Linked DNA regions of Saccharomyces cerevisiae S288C. Changing the gene in region 1 together with any one later gene gives a genetic interaction. Each region holds a gene or a part of one and is shown on either strand. Other genes may lie near its edges.

Region 1 (4,819 bases):
TCAAACTATCATTACGATTGGAACTGGAGGAATAATAAAGAACTAAAATATTTGAATTTTTCAGGAAATCGAAGGTTTGAAATAAAGTCATTTATAAGTCACGATATTGATGCTGATTTGTCAGATCTGACAGTATTACCTCAGTTAAAGGTACTAGGTTTAATGGACGTAACTTTAAATACTACCAAAGTACCGGATGAAAATGTCAATTTCCGTTTAAGGACAACTGCATCAATAATAAATGGGATGCGCTACGGTGTTGCTGATACATTAGGTCAAAGAGACTATGTGTCATCTCGTGATGTTACCTTTGAAAGATTCCGCGGAAATGACGACGAATGCTTACTATGTCTTCATGATAGTAAAAACCAAAATGCAGATTATGGCCACAATATATCAAGAATTGTTAGAGATATTTACGATAAAATACTGATCAGACAACTGGAAAGGTATGGAGACGAAACAGATGATAATATAAAAACTGCACTTCGTTTCAGTTTTTTGCAACTGAATAAGGAGATTAACGGAATGCTAAATTCTGTTGATAATGGTGCCGATGTTGCCAATCTTTCATATGCAGACTTGCTAAGTGGCGCTTGCTCTACTGTGATATATATCAGAGGGAAGAAACTCTTCGCTGCAAATTTAGGTGACTGTATGGCTATTTTATCCAAAAACAATGGTGACTACCAAACGCTAACCAAACAACATCTCCCAACAAAGCGGGAAGAATACGAGAGGATCAGAATATCTGGCGGGTATGTCAACAATGGAAAATTAGATGGTGTTGTAGATGTGTCTAGAGCAGTGGGTTTTTTTGATTTGCTTCCCCACATTCATGCTTCTCCCGACATATCTGTCGTGACATTAACAAAAGCAGACGAGATGCTTATTGTAGCAACGCATAAGTTATGGGAATACATGGACGTGGATACAGTTTGTGATATCGCGCGTGAGAATAGTACTGATCCACTCCGTGCCGCAGCTGAGTTGAAGGATCATGCCATGGCTTACGGCTGTACAGAGAATATTACAATTTTGTGCCTTGCTCTTTACGAGAACATTCAGCAACAAAATCGGTTCACTTTAAATAAAAACTCTTTAATGACTAGAAGAAGTACTTTCGAGGATACTACATTAAGAAGACTTCAACCTGAGATTTCTCCGCCAACAGGTAACCTAGCAATGGTCTTCACTGATATCAAAAGCTCAACCTTCTTATGGGAGCTATTCCCTAACGCAATGAGGACCGCAATAAAAACTCACAATGACATTATGCGTCGTCAACTACGAATTTACGGTGGTTACGAAGTAAAGACAGAAGGAGACGCCTTTATGGTGGCATTTCCTACGCCAACTAGTGGTCTGACATGGTGCTTAAGTGTTCAATTAAAACTCTTGGATGCACAATGGCCGGAGGAAATTACCTCAGTTCAAGACGGCTGCCAAGTTACGGATAGAAATGGTAACATTATCTATCAAGGCCTATCAGTTAGAATGGGTATTCATTGGGGCTGCCCAGTTCCAGAGCTTGATTTAGTGACTCAAAGAATGGACTATTTGGGGCCGATGGTCAATAAGGCAGCAAGGGTCCAGGGCGTCGCTGACGGTGGTCAGATTGCAATGAGTAGTGATTTTTACTCTGAATTCAACAAGATAATGAAGTATCATGAGCGAGTAGTGAAGGGCAAGGAATCTCTCAAGGAAGTTTATGGTGAAGAAATTATCGGAGAGGTTCTTGAAAGAGAAATTGCCATGCTGGAAAGTATTGGTTGGGCATTTTTTGACTTTGGCGAGCATAAGCTAAAGGGACTCGAAACCAAAGAACTCGTTACTATTGCGTATCCTAAGATTCTTGCTTCCAGACACGAATTTGCATCTGAAGATGAGCAGTCAAAATTAATCAATGAAACGATGTTGTTTCGTTTAAGAGTCATTTCAAACAGACTGGAATCTATAATGTCAGCTTTAAGCGGCGGATTTATTGAACTAGACTCTCGGACGGAGGGAAGTTATATTAAATTTAACCCTAAAGTTGAAAATGGTATTATGCAATCGATTTCTGAGAAGGATGCGTTGTTATTTTTTGATCATGTAATTACTAGAATCGAATCCAGTGTGGCATTATTACATTTACGACAACAGAGGTGTTCAGGACTGGAAATTTGCAGAAACGATAAAACATCTGCTCGAAGCAATATTTTCAATGTTGTTGACGAACTTTTACAAATGGTTAAGAACGCAAAGGATTTATCAACTTGAGTTCTGTTCGTAAATTATGTACCACCCTGTTACTCGTTTCATATTCACGCTAGAGAAGTACCTCAGCTTACTAGATCCATTCACACATTGCAAGTATACTAAAACTATATAAAATTTAAGTACGTAAACTCTTTACTTATTATTATCTTCAATGTCATCACGTACTTAATTATGTTAAATATAGATTGTGTATAAATAAGAAATAGGATCTGTTTTGAAAAATTGGCCAAAAAGGCAGATTTATTAAGCCTATAGAGATAAGGTTCTTGCCATTTTTCATACATTTACTGTTTTCTCTTGAATGACTATAATATTGCCAAAATTGCCTCGAATATGTTGTTTCATCTCCTCTCATATTTGGCTTTCTAAGTCTTTTAGTTGTATTGGTGATTGCTCCAATTCTGAATGATTACTATGCTGCTGACTAGGCGTAACCAATCCAACTTCTCCTTCATTAGGATCAACCAAGCCCTCAAAAAAGGTGTCTCTAAGCTCTCTCCATCTTGTTGTCCATGTCCCCAAAAATATTAGTATTAAAGATGATAAAATTTGAAGAAAAAACCAAGAAAAAGAAGGAAATTTCCGAGTATAGAGGAACACCACAATAAAATTGATGGCATGTATAGTGATAGCAAAATCCCATGCGAGTTTACTCCGTCCAACGATAACAGTTAAGAAAAAAACACATATTAATGAATCCAGAAGCCATAACAGTGAGATTGATAAACCGTATGCGTTCGTAAAGTCGATATTCTCCCAAGAAAACAGCCATTCCTTGATATTGAGATCATATCCCGCTAGCTTCGCCCAACAATAAAAAAGAACGATCGCTGTGGTGTAATAAAAAATCTGTAAAAGAACAATTTGAAGTCCAATCTTACTTGGAGAGAGAGAATCTTGTTTGAAGATCTGGGAAGGTTTCAACTCATTCGGCACTCGCAAATACCTTCTTATCGAAACCATGTTACAGTAATTCAAATGCCTATTTTTTATCTCACTTCTATGTGTACCCTTCCTTAGCCTTCCTAAAGATCATCTCTTAACATGAAGTTACAGAATATTACCGTGAATATCGCGAGCTACGAATATTTTGGGTGGGGAGATATTTATTCATGATTAGCCTTGTCCTATAGTGTTACAATGGAGCAAATTGTTCACCGTTAGTATTTTGAATACGACAATATTAAATGAATAATAGCGCCTATCTCTTGTTACGTTTGGCGATTTGTATACCTTGTTAAATAAACTGATTAAAAGCCGGGTTATGGCCGTACACAAGTTATTAGAAAGCAAATACACTTCCTTATATCTGGTCACCTAGTTAATAAAAGGAAGTCTTTAATTTTGGCAAAAACCACTATATATATTAGTCAACAACTGAAATATTACCAGAATTTGTCTCCTAAATGTCGTTCAGCGGAAAAAAATTTAGGTCTAGAAGACAGCAGCTAGTATATGAAGCATCTTTAGCGGGGCGATACAAAAAAGCATTGAGTAAGCACCCCTTTCTTTTTTTTGGTTTACCATTTTGTGCAACAATAGTATTGGGTTCGTTTTGGTTGTCAAGCTTTACAGCGATCAAGTACGAGCAAGGCGATCGTAAAGTTCAGGAAATTAATGAAGAGGATATCTTGAAAATAAGGAAGAATCAAAGGGAATTTGATATTAAAGAAGAATATTATCGTTTACAAGGTCTTTCTGAAGAGGATTGGGAGCCTGTGCGCGTCGCTAGGTTAAAGGATGAATCTGAGAATGTCTGGTAACATTCAAAACGTGAACATCTTTGTTATTCTTCTGTCCTTAAACTACTAAACAAAAAAAACTATGACCATTGATTGTGCAAAGAAAAGACCACGAGAATGTCTAGGAAATGATTGTAAATACCTTTATTCATTGGAAAATTCTTATCTATAAAACTTATAAAAAATTAAATACTGAATTTATTGCTCTGCATCATAAGGTATATATCATTCAAACGTGAACTCAGTTAGTTACGTTCATGTTCAAAGTTTTTAAGACAAAAACTCCCATTAGTGCGGTGAAAATATAGCAAGCAATAGACAGAGGCTTCTTGAAAAAAGAGCTTTTCGGGTAGTCGTACTTTATCAAGACTTGGCCATTGGCAACTTGACTAATCAAATTTCTGTAACTGAAAGTTAATTTAACGTGACCTTTATTTAGGTCAAAGTATGATTTCTGGGTTTCTATAGAAACATTTGTAAAAGGGACTGGAGAATCAATATCGAATATTTCGGCCCCTTCCGGAAGAAATACCGATAATTCAACATTATCATATACAGTGTCCGGTGGGCCGTTTAGAATTGGGATAGAAGCAACGAATTTCTCGTCTGAGCCAGAGGATACATGCAAGAAATCGGACAATTTATTAGTCCAACCGACAGTAAAATTGTAGTTCCAACCTCCAAAGATTGGGAATCTTGGTCTTATAAAGAAATGGTCACGTTCTGCATGCGACGTGGAAACAAGGCCAACCAAATCAGTGAAATAATGATCAGTAGCTCCCTCAGGCAGGAGCATGTCTAAGACAGTAACAAAG
Region 2 (6,056 bases), on another chromosome or scaffold:
CCTAGTGTAATCATCAAGTCAAAGAATGAATCGTGTTTTTTAACAAATTCTTTTGACCAATACTTTACTCTGTTTTTACTGCAATTGCTGTCTTTGCAGAGGTCACCAACAGCAAACTGAGTTGACTTTTTAAAAATATCTTGTACATATACAGTTATTGAATGGAAATTGCGTAAGATCCATTCCACCACTTCTCTCATGAGAAATACAGTGGAAATATCATTAATATTGCAGATTATTATCAGGTTTTCAACCTGCAAGTCAACCTTAGCATTTATAAGATCCTTTCTCAAACGCCTTACATCGTATGCAGTATCAACATAAAATGGGTATAAATTACTCGTGTCCTCACCGACAATTGTTTCGCTCGATAATCTTCTGACCCAGTTTTTTGCATCATGATAACCGCACCTCATTAAGCCCGGTTCTTCGAAGTTGCTTAATACCTTGCCTTCCGCTAAAACTTTAACTGATGTCATTCTGTCAATAGTATCCATAGTATCCATCTCAGCATCTCCCTTGGTACATGTCTCCGGGGAAGCGTTAATCAGTAATCTATCAGTTTTCATATTCTCTTTTAGTAAAAAATGTCACGTAAGCAGATTTATTGAGATTGCACTATTTCCATTTCCCTTTCACAACGCTATAGAAGTGAGATGAATACACTAACCTGATTGTAGGTTTATTTATATATATAATATCAATAGCTAGCAGTTTATTAAACGACCTGAAATGCAGTTTCTTCGATCACCAGATAAGTCCGATTATCCTTTTGTTTTCGATTTTCTTGAGGACCGGTGTGATATCCACAATCACCCTAAAACTAAAACAAAGCCATATAGTCTTAAAACAACGGAACAATCCATAACAAAAGTATATTAAATTATCTCATATGTTCAAGATTATGAGGTCCTAACAGATAACTCTTCCAGTTCATACTCAAACACCTGAAGGCGTGGCGGGCTTTTACCAAAAATGGATAAACCTCGGAAGGCCTTTTCAATCCCCTGTCTTGGCGGCGGTGTTATAATAAACTATTGTGGGGATAATAGTGATTTTCATAACGTAAAAATCGTTTACATATTGTTCAAGGGTTATAGAATAGGACATATAACAGAATACATATCACCGCAATCTCCTCTTCCTTAATATACATGGGACGAAAAGCGGTGTCCATGTTCTTATTCAAGCTGATTGAATTTTACATTTCCAGTTATCAGCTTTCAACAATGGTAATGACGCACCTAAACACCAACCGATTTCTTTATTGGCAATTTTCTTTCCAGTTCTCAATTCTCTTTGTAATGGAATGTCATATCCCGTATGTAATAAGGACACTTGAAAAGATAAGTCCAAACAGAAGTGCGAGTCACTTTCCAATTCATCTAGGGACCCCGCAATGCCACTGAAGACACTATTCCAAGTTTCTTCGCCTTTACACACTATTCTTGCCAAATCGTTCAATTCATTCAAAGTAAAGGACAAGGGCATACCCAATGGACGGGTTCTGTCGTAGAAATAAGAGAAAATATAGATATCGTTCGATTCTTTGAATGTACGAACTAAAGAAGGTTGGTGAACCCCATTGAAAGAGCATGGTGGAGACTGGCACTGAGCATCTTTATTCAAAATTTCATCAGTCAGAAATCTACATTGTGCACCACTTGGCTCGTCCGGCCCTATAAAGTCAATGGTATAAGTTTCCTTGGATTCTAATGTAACCTTTTCATTTGTGGCATTAACTTTAGGCGGTAGGCATGGAGATGACAATTGATGAGTCTTAGTGTTATCACCCTTCAATATTTTGCCGTCTTTTAATGCATTTTCCACAAGAACAGAGTTAACTTTATTTCTTCCTTCCTTCAAACCGTAACCTAGATGAGAAAATTGGTACAAGGTGTAATTTTCATCACCAAACTTCAAATCAAATTTATGCTCACCATCGACCATTTTTTCATTTATTGGGAAAGTAGGCTCAAAAACAATTTGTGTAGACCCTCCGCCTAAGTCAAAAACGGCAGCAGTAGGTAACTTGGGGCCATTAGCACCGATATTACCTAATAGGTAGTTTGTAGTAATCCAGGCGAAGACACCTTCTTCATCACCGCCCATGATGGAAACACCATCACCTTCGACAACTGGGAAAGGATAGTCCTTCTCCAAATGATCCCTTACAGCGCTCAAAATTTTTGAAGATTTGGCATCACCCAAGAGTCTTAGGCCTGCAGTAGCTTTCACCGCAACGGGAGTACAACTTCTTGCCTTAATAGGGACATAGTTCATTGCTACTTTCAGTAATGGGTCAAGGGAGTTAGCGGCACCAACGGAATCGGTATCGAAAGAAGATAAACCAGGCTCTAACATGTCGAATTTTTCATCAAGTAATGTAGGTGGGGAAGTACAGACGTCAAACTTGTATATATGTACTCGGGAACCGGTAGAGCCGGCATCGATCATGATAACATACTTATGTTCTTCGCTGCATGTTTGACTTGTTTGTGACTTCACAGCATCGGCAAGCTCAGGATAGTTTTGTTCAGTCTTCGAATCTTGAAGGTAACCTGGTTCATCATTGACGGGCAAGATAGAGATGTCCTCCGGAGTTTTGGGAATACTAGCATTAGGAGTAACTGTACGTGCAATAGAAGGTGGACCGATGGAAGATGTTTTAATCAACAAAATGAGCATAATAACGGCAAAAGCACCGATAGCGAACCGGTAATTTCTAAAGATGGGCGCCATGTTTTTTGTGCGATGATGTCTTAATGTTTCTTCTCGAGAGGACCCTTAACTGTTCGCCAATAAAGATTGTTGATTGCAGTCCTTGCCCTTTTTATTAGTGCTTTCTCCTTAAAACCAAAATTAAATAAGCTTGTAAAAGAAACTGTTTTTATATTTGGAAAATCGAAGCACTATGCAAGGAATATTATTAATGTTGACAGTTATTTTTCATGTGTTATGTTTTTCATATTGAAGTTGTAAAAAGATGGGAAAAATGAAATTGAGACGAGACGCCAAAATAAAAAGAAAAAAAAAAAGAAAAAATGAGATTAATACCGTTACCCTATTGATGATTAAGAATAAGCTCAAACTGCTTTCATATATTATGTTTCATAATTTATATATCTACATATATACACGACCTGGAAGTATTATAATATTGTTCATGAGTCGTGACTGTGCGGGTTAAATAGATTATTCATACCGCTCTTGGACAACAGTTTTGACATTCTTCTACCGCTTGGACTAGTTGATGGAGTTGATGAATCTTGAATATCCGTGTCCGCATTAGCAGGTGATGATGCAGACTTGTGCTTAAACTTGGACCATGCAGAAGAAATGCTGCTGTTACTTTGGTTCCTCTTGTGAGAAGGCTTAGGGCTTGGTTCTTTAGCGGGAACCTTTGGACCCACAGGCACATCGAGGTGATACTGCTCCTCCAATGGAGGAGAAAGTTGATTTGTATTTGAATTCCATATGGAGTTGAAAGGTGGTGAAGAGGCATGGAAAGATCTTCGTGTAATGTTATCCGCCGTTGGTTGATGGTTCATTGTTAATATGTTCGAGTGTGAAGGTGTTAAAGTAGTGTTATTGCCTGGAACAATGGGCACATCGTTTGAGAGTCGTGGGCTCAAGTTTGGCACCAATAAATTGAAGTCACTTGATATCCTTGGACTAATGTTCTCGGTTTCATTGCCATTGATATTGTTCTGTAAGGAGTTTGCAGGTTGCGGAGCACTGTAGAAAGAACCACTGCGTACAAAACTTTGTAATGAAGGATCATTCAATGTAGCGGCGAGTAGACTCTGTGGATGCATAGGATTCGTATTGGTTGCGTTGGAGGTTTGTCGCAAATGAGAACTAGAATATGGAGATATTACTGGGTTAGCCTTATATGATGACATAGGTGTTCCAGTCGTAGAGAAAAGACTTTCATTTGTGCTGCGCACCTGGGGTTGCTGCTTAGTCCAGTAATTGTCAAGTTCGTCTGTAGTAAAACCCTTGGAATAATTGCTTATGTTATCAGGATAGTCTGTTTCGTCGTAGATCATATTTTGCAAACCACTGATTAAGTGGTTTGCATTATCGTATTCAAAAGCTTGATCCAATTCTGTAGATACTTGTTGATGCGAAGGTTGAGCGAATTGTGCGGTGGTCCATAAATTTGACCTTGAGTGACCATTAGTTGCTGTTGCTGTTGCTGTTGCATTAGCAGTAGCAGTTGTAGGTAAAGCATGTGAATATGAAGAAGGCTGTTGCTTGTTTTCGTTGTTCGATGAGATGTGATTGGAGAGCATTGATCGATTATCGGTGTCCTGTGTCAATTGACTCAATAGACTGCTTGAAGGTTGTATGGGTTCATTCGAAGGAGAGTACGAAACTGGATTGTGCAACCTCAACGGAGGAGCAGAATCAGCATTACTGTTGTTAATACTTTTGTTATTATTCGATATTAAATCAATGGACCCCGTTCTTGACATGTTGTTGGATAATGGTAATTGAATCGATCCAGAACTTCTGTTTTTTTCCGCGGAATTATTCGAATTGGTGGCAGCAAGCGAATCACCGTTATTCTTATATGGTTGAACCATTAATTTTGTTTTCAAATTCCGATTATTAAGGCTCATTTCATTAAATTGGTTTTCTAAAGCACTAATTTTCTTCAACAAATTTGACCTCTGCAATTTCCAGTTGGCCTCCAATTCTTGATCAATGCTTAGCTCTTGCTTAATCATTTTAATCAATGATGAGTCTGCATTCAATTTGGATAGAAACTCTTCACCAGCATTACTTAAAAATCCATTTTTTTCTAAAGTAAAATCATTGAGCTTCTTCAAAACAGCCGACAATTCTCCGCTAGCAATAGGTTTATCGTTTTCCACATTGGCATTCACCACTATGGAAGTAATCAATGATTTTTTGGAGGCGTTCAATCTCTTGTTAGACTCCTCCATCTTGGAAATTTCATTTTGTAAAGACTCAATTTCTTTGTTGATATTGGCCACAGAGGCATTGGATTCATTTAGCAATTTGAAATATTTCTCCTTTATGGTATCCTTAGACAACAGCTCGGTATCTTCCTGAGACCATTTCTGCATATCATTGCGCATTTTCGATATTTTTTCCTTGGATTTGTCGATTTTCTTGTTCAATTTTTCGATTTTCAAATCGGTCAATAGTTTAGAATTCTCCAATGACTTGATATTGGATTTCAAGGATTTCCGCAAGTCAATTTCGTGCGACCAATGTGTTTTCAAGTTATCCAGTTCTAGTTCTAATTCTAACTTCGATTCTTGAAAATCTTGCAAAAGCGAAGTTTGTTGGGACAACACATCGTGTAAGTCCTCCTGGGCGCAAATCAGTATCTTTTTCAGATCATCGATGGAAAACGAATCCAAATCCTTCAACGTAGTCAAAGATGTGTAAGCGGGTAGATTTGAACCATTATTGCTGGTGGCGCTATTAGTAATATTGGATGAGAAAGTAGACAGGGAAACAGAGGAGTAGTGAGAGGGCAACGGGGCGGGTTCGGACTTGGAGTTTCTGGGCTGCATAGCTGTGGACGATGTGATGGTGTTTCTTCTCCATTTTCTAGTCTTTAACGCTTCATTCGCCTCTCTCGCCTTCGTCATACAGTAAATGGAGGGTAGCTTATTGATAAAGCCCTTGTTGTTAATCGTTATAAAATCTAACTGGTACTGCGTCTCCGCCTCGAGACCCGTGATGGAGCAGCATGTGTAAAGGGAGTTTGGGTTGTTTGGGAAGATAGCCAATTGTGTGTTATTCAGATACAACAAATAGTGGGAAATGAAGTTTCTATCCGCACTGCCATTGTCCTCCGCTTTTACAGGTTCGTTCTCCCAATGAATGGTCACTGAATCCGTGGCTATTTTGTCGATAGACACTTTTGTTGCCGGTGGAGTTTTGATCTTCAAAGTGGAGACGATGCTGGACACAGGAATAGTGAGAAACTTATAGAGCCTATAAGAGAGCCACAGACATGCTAAAACCGTGGTTATTACAGAGACTGGCATCCATGCATGTGTTGGTAGTCC
Region 3 (6,394 bases), on another chromosome or scaffold:
TATGTACCCTGCTGTGTGATTTCTCCATTATCTAATAATGCAATAGAATCTGCGATGGATAACGCGCTCACCTTATTAGTGGCTAATACCTTCGTTTTTGTATGTAATAAACCATTTGGACCCAACACATGTTCGATCAAGTGCCTGGCAACGTGTTCATCAACAGCTGCCAAAGGATCATCAAGTAAATAAGTGTCAGCTCTCGCATAAACTGCTCTTGCTAAAGACAAACGAGCTTTTTGTCCTCCAGATAAGGAGATCCCTTTCTCGCCAACTAATGTCTTATCTCCATCCATCAAAATTGCAAGATCAATAGTTAACGCACAGGCCTTGATCGTTTTTTCGTAAAATTCCGCGTCGTATCTATGCCCAAATAAAATGTTTTCCTTTACAGTACCATTCATTATCCATGGAACTTGTGAAACATAAGCAACAGAACCATGAACGGTGGCGAAACCTTTAACCCTGAATAGATCACCTAACATGCATGACAATAGAGCTGTTTTACCACTGCCAACTTTACCAACAATACAGGTCAAATTTCCTTTTTTAGCTTGGAAATTAATATTCTTTAAGGCTACTTTGTATTCCGGTTTCCGTTGCCATAAAAAGGTAGCATCATCTCCAATGTTAATGGCTACATCGCCAATATTTTTTACTTTTGGTAAACGCTGAACCGAATCTGGTTGTAGCTCTTCATTGGTAAAGAATGTAAATAATCTACCAATAGAAACAGAAGCTTCGATAAAAGAATTTAAAACCATAGGAATAATCATTAGTGGGAATGAGAGCAGGTTGAACAGAGTCAAAGCAGGGAAAACTAAGTCAGTAGTCAATGCTCTATCCTCAGTATAAACAAATACAGCAAAGGTACAACATGAAACAAGGAATGGTACTATATTGAACTGAAAACTTGTCACAGCCATATAACATCCTAGTTTTGTAAGATTTTTTAACTCTTTGTTATTTCTTACTTCTTCTAGCTTTTCCCTATAAGGCTTCTCCCATGCATATAACTTCAAAGATTTAATATTGTTTAGTATTTCACTTATAACACGGGTCCTTTCATCTTTGTACTTCATCTGGGATTTTTGCAACTTCTTTTGTATCCTCATCAAAAATGAGTTCAATGGCATCATAATAACTAGTATAATCACGCCAACCCACATGGAATTTCCCAACAACTTATACAGAGAATATAAGCAAATAATGATTTGAAAAGGCCCTGACCATATTAAATTTAGCCATTGTGTTAAATCTTGTAATTTTTGAACATCCACACTCATGAGATTGACAATGTCACCGGTAGAGGAAAGTCCAGAAGCCTCATTAGATAGCACTAAGGATTTTTGATATATTAAAGCCGTTAGGGCGCTCTTAATATACATGCCTGTGTTGAAGACATTCAGGAAATATTGATGCAGGACAGATGTCTGAGTAAAGCCCACCAGAAACATAGCAAACGCAATCAAAAACCCTCTTACAATGGGTAATTTTTGTGGGTGGTTATTTTCAAACCCTTGAAGAGAAGAATGGTCATCCTGTCTCTCACTGTTATAGTCTGTGACGAACTTGATTAAAATCCTTAGTAGTTGTGGTTGAGTAAATGCTAGAACATCATGAATTGCTTTAAAGAATGCGGCTAAAAGCATTTTAGATCCAAAAGTTCTGCATATAGCCCATGATAATGAAGGATTTGATTTTTGCTTCAACTCATTTTCCCAGTTTTTCTCCAATTTTTGAGAGAGTTCTTCACTACTAAAGTTCCTCGGTAATTTATATAAATCTGCTTCCACTAAGTATTTTTCATAGCCAGTTTTCATCAAACCTGACATCCAAGAGAAGGTAATCCTGGAAAATATGTTTGCGCTATCGTATGGATTTGGTTTTCTTCTTGTTAAAGTTTGATGTATGTGTTGATGTGGCATTAGCGGCTTCTTTGGAAGAGCTTCAAGTAACAGGATACTGGCACATGTTATTACTTGGAATAACGTTAGTATGAAACCCGTTTGTCCGGAATACCAAATGCCTTCGTAGGTGTGTCTAATTAGAATATTTATTAGTTTAGCAAAATTACCGAATGTTTCAAAAAGCCAATAGAATAAAAGTACCGTATTGGCTACAACTGATCTATCGTATTCTATCCAGTGTAAGGCTAAAGCAACAAATAAAGATAACATTGTAGAAGCATATTGACTTACAATGGTAAAGTTTTCCGCTTCTTCTTTAGAAATATTTAAAGACGCAAGTGAAACAAACGCTATCTCCAACAGAACTAGTGCCATCCTAGAGACAATAATCCAATTCCGCCTATATTTGATGCCAGAGTGTTTTTTCTTGCAAAGGTTAACTAAATCTCTGATACCGAAGGTTATCATGAAAATTGCTGATAGATTTAGGATCACACCGTCGATGAAGCATTGAGTAAAGTCACCGTAAAAGGATATAGGTCCAAACCCTTCAGGAGATCTACAGAGCTTGCAGGCCCATGAAACAAGATTACCAGCCATTTTCTTGTTCTTTACGGTAGTACGATACCCCTAATTTATTCTCAAACTGTTAATTGAAAAATTGTAGGTTGTAAACCAGCTTCCACATAGCAGATGATCACAAGAGGTTATCGCACCTTTTATAGCAGCTGCTAACTTTTTTCATCAATTTCGTAATTACTAAGCCGTAACCTTCCACCGCCCAAGCATCACACCAGGAGTTACATATTTTTGTATTATCATAAAGAAACACACGCCAAGATATCTACAGAAACCAGATGTTAGCATTAGATATATATATTCGTATTGATGCAGCATAACAAGCGTACTATGGATTGCAAAGTAATGTAGATTCCTGACCAGTAGATCTGCTCGCGCAAGAGAAACATTCATGAACTCTAACGACAATAACAGTAAATCCACCTCACGGAGAACGATAAAAGTCTTCATTTCTCCATGAGGTGGAAACGTTGTTTGAATATTAAACATAATACTTGAACTTCTTGTGTAATTTTTATTTTTTAATCGAAGTCTACTCCGAAGTCTCCTATAAAGCGTAAGGCGCGTCTCCAAAGTGCTATTTTTCAAGATCAATTCAGCTTCAAAGAAGCTTTGATACCTACGGGGCAATGCAAAGGCTGCCAGTCGAAACAAACAGCGAAAGCTAGCCCATAATTTCTTGAGCTGTTGATTTTGATTGTGATATTTTTCATACTTTAGAAGAAGATATGCGTGCGCACAGAATCGATACATTTCTCATAAGAGAAAACATCAAACTGGAGATCATACATGAATCGAATTCCTATTTTGGTGGAGAACATATATCAATTGCTTTCCGATTTAAGCACCTAGGCTCACAGCATGAATTGTTCAACTATAAAGAAAAGCTTCTCACTGTCGATAAAGCTGTTGAAGAGAAGTTGGAACAACAAGCGAAAGTGCAAGATGATGGTGAAGGCACGATGGAAAATCAAACCTGGTCCCTAAAATCATTACTAGGTGCCTTCAAAAGAACAGGCGAACCTGAAGAGAGTGTGGATGTGGATAACATGAAAATGCTAAATGAGAGTAAGATGTTAAGAGAAAAAATACAGAAGCAAATGTATTTTCATCAACCTGTAACGTTAATATCCGGTTATGTTCAAATATCGGGGGTCTTTCAATACGATTCAGAGGTAATTTCAGAGTCAAAATTTAAACAAGATGAAGTAAAAATGGTAGGACTAGATATTGTACCTGGACATACGACAAATTCTGTTCTTGCATTGGAAGATGGAGAACATTTCAAAGGTAAAAGAAATTTAACCAACTACCTCAACTCAGATTATACAAATGTGACCAATGGTCTTCTTTTCTCAGAAAGCGGTTCTAGGGGAAGAACAGGTACCTATAACGAACGGACCTTAATGATATCAAACGATACCAGTATAAAAACATTACCTCTTCTTTTAATACCACAGACGCTTTTATTTTCTGAAATTTCTTTAGAACCAGGTGAAGTAAGAACATTCTATTTTAAATCCACAAAGCTGCCAAAAGATATATGCCCAAGTTATTCATCGTCAAAAGTGGCATCAATAAATTACACGCTGGAGGTTGGTGCGGATGTACTTTCTGATGATAATATCGAGAAATTTTCAAATAGAGTCCCAATAACAATAGCACCATATATTAGTTCGAATGCCGAACAGTACACATCACGTCTGGATAAGCCTGCTATCATATTAAAGACAGGTAACATAAAGGAACTAAAGCCACGTTTGTTTACTCGAAAAGTTTCTACGGCTTCTGCTGTATCATTTGGTAGGAGAAAATCTTCTATAATTGACATTGATTCTCCATTAGAAGATAATGAATTTGTCAAGCGTGTCAAAAAAAACTTCATTGAACTGGTGGAATCTAACCAAAATGTGTCAAGAGATATAGACGAACTTATTGACTTGCAAATGGGGGTACAGTTCGGAAAGGATGAGGATTCTTCGGATCCTGAACCCAACGACTCACACTTTTCGAACGAAATGGTGACGTCTGCAGAGTCTAGCCTGAGAAGCGATGCTGTAACTAAGAGGAGAAAAAGTTATTCGGTACGCGATAACATTTCTAACCTCGAGCAAAAGATGTGGAACGATTGTTCTCTCGTTAAGTCAGATGAGAATTCTAATCTTCTACCTCAGCTAATTAATTTACAGAACGCATATCAAATTAACAGAAATAATGAGACTATGGCAAAAGTATCCTTATCAGCACCTTTTTATAAGACAACTGATGATATAAATTTAGTCATTGAATTAGATCCGATAACGACGCCTTTACTTAAAGTGACTTCGTTGACTGTATCCTTAGAATCGTTTGAAATTATAAATCCAAAATATAAGACTGAAGGAAAAGGAATAGGGAGCAAACCAAAAGGAAACTCGGTGTATGAGAAACATTTTATTTGTTTCGATGAGTGCAAGTCCGTATCGGTGAAATTACTTCCTCCAAGATCGCCTACAAACCAGATTACCGGACAATTCAAGACAGATGTTTTTCAACATAAGTGGATGATAGGACTAAAATTTGTAATAATTGCAAAGACAGAAAGTATCACTTTGGATCAATTTTATGAGGATAAAAAGGGCATCCTATTCCATTCAAAAGAGAATTTAGAAGGTGAAGAGTTTACATGTTACGTTCCCATTCCAATACTGTGTACATCCGAAGATTTCATGGGATGGTAAGCAATAAATGGGTGCAGTTTACTCGTATAATTGGTTTTGCATTTGAATCCAATCCAGTAAAGAGGATTTACTATACTCTCTTCATAAAGGGTATGTACAGATACATTTATAAGTTAGTTAACCGGCTTTATTGTCGTAATAGTCATCTCTTGATGTCATGGGTTGCTGTCCGTGCGATTTCAAGACTGCTCATTTCGCACGATGCATATTGCTTCTCTAATGACATTTTTCGTTAGAATGATCAGGTTTTTGCCATAGCTTGATCAGTAAATTAATAGATGATTTTAACAATTCAAGAGGCATTAAAACTTGGGCAAAGGAGTAATAATGTCTAATACCGAGGAATTGATCCAAAACTCAATAGGTTTTCTCCAGAAAACTTTTAAAGCACTCCCAGTTTCGTTTGACTCCATTCGACATGAACCACTTCCATCTTCAATGTTGCATGCAAGTGTTCTCAATTTTGAATGGGAACCGCTCGAAAAAAATATTTCGGCAATTCATGATAGAGATTCTTTGATTGACATTATACTTAAAAGATTCATTATAGATTCAATGACAAATGCTATTGAAGACGAAGAAGAAAATAATCTTGAAAAAGGGTTACTAAATTCGTGTATAGGTCTCGATTTTGTGTATAACTCAAGATTTAATAGATCTAATCCAGCTAGCTGGGGAAATACCTTTTTCGAGTTATTTTCCACCATCATTGATTTGCTAAACTCACCATCTACGTTTTTGAAGTTTTGGCCCTATGCTGAATCACGTATCGAATGGTTCAAAATGAATACATCTGTTGAGCCAGTATCATTGGGGGAGAGCAATTTGATTAGTTACAAACAGCCTTTATACGAAAAGCTGCGCCACTGGAACGATATTTTAGCTAAATTAGAGAATAATGACATCCTTAATACCGTCAAACATTATAATATGAAATACAAACTAGAGAACTTTTTATCCGAGCTACTACCTATAAATGAAGAATCGAACTTCAATAGATCCGCTTCTATTTCAGCTTTACAAGAATCTGATAACGAATGGAACAGATCAGCACGTGAACGAGAAAGCAACCGCAGTTCCGACGTTATATTTGCTGCAGATTATAACTTCGTGTTTTATCATCTAATTATTTGCCCGATCGAATTTGCTTTTAGCGATTTAGAATATAAAAATGATGTGGACAGA

Evidence for each region. A genetic interaction does not mean that the proteins touch.
Region 2: mutations in SYS1 (region 1) and GDA1 together harm fitness more than expected from each alone (negative genetic interaction), as found in Saccharomyces cerevisiae (4 studies listed by BioGRID).
Region 3: mutations in SYS1 (region 1) and RGP1 together harm fitness more than expected from each alone (negative genetic interaction), as found in Saccharomyces cerevisiae (4 studies listed by BioGRID).

What each region holds. Positions count from the first base shown.
Region 1 is NC_001142.9:428,976-433,794, forward strand, and holds SYS1 (Sys1p), read right to left. Parts: upstream 3,226-4,819; coding exon 2,614-3,225; downstream 1-2,613. Other genes in the region: CYR1 (adenylate cyclase), read left to right, coding at 1-2,262; COX16 (Cox16p), read left to right, coding at 3,669-4,025; dolichyl-diphosphooligosaccharide--protein glycotransferase subunit OST1, read right to left, coding at 4,246-4,819. UniProt on the Saccharomyces cerevisiae protein: Necessary for the targeting of ARL3 to the Golgi. Involved in protein trafficking. May serve as a receptor for acetylated ARL3.
Region 2 is NC_001137.3:70,457-76,512, reverse strand, and holds GDA1 (guanosine diphosphatase), read right to left. Parts: upstream 2,743-6,056; coding exon 1,186-2,742; downstream 1-1,185. Other genes in the region: YEF1 (NADH/NAD(+) kinase), read right to left, coding at 1-569; GTA1 (Gta1p), read right to left, coding at 3,165-6,035. UniProt on the Saccharomyces cerevisiae protein: After transfer of sugars to endogenous macromolecular acceptors, the enzyme converts nucleoside diphosphates to nucleoside monophosphates which in turn exit the Golgi lumen in a coupled antiporter reaction, allowing entry of additional nucleotide sugar from the cytosol.
Region 3 is NC_001136.10:725,042-731,435, forward strand, and holds RGP1 (Rgp1p), read left to right. Parts: upstream 1-3,217; coding exon 3,218-5,209; downstream 5,210-6,394. Other genes in the region: ATP-binding cassette glutathione S-conjugate transporter YCF1, read right to left, coding at 1-2,510; HPR1 (Hpr1p), read left to right, coding at 5,537-6,394. UniProt on the Saccharomyces cerevisiae protein: The RIC1-RGP1 complex acts as a guanine nucleotide exchange factor (GEF), which activates YPT6 by exchanging bound GDP for free GTP. It is thereby required for efficient fusion of endosome-derived vesicles with the Golgi.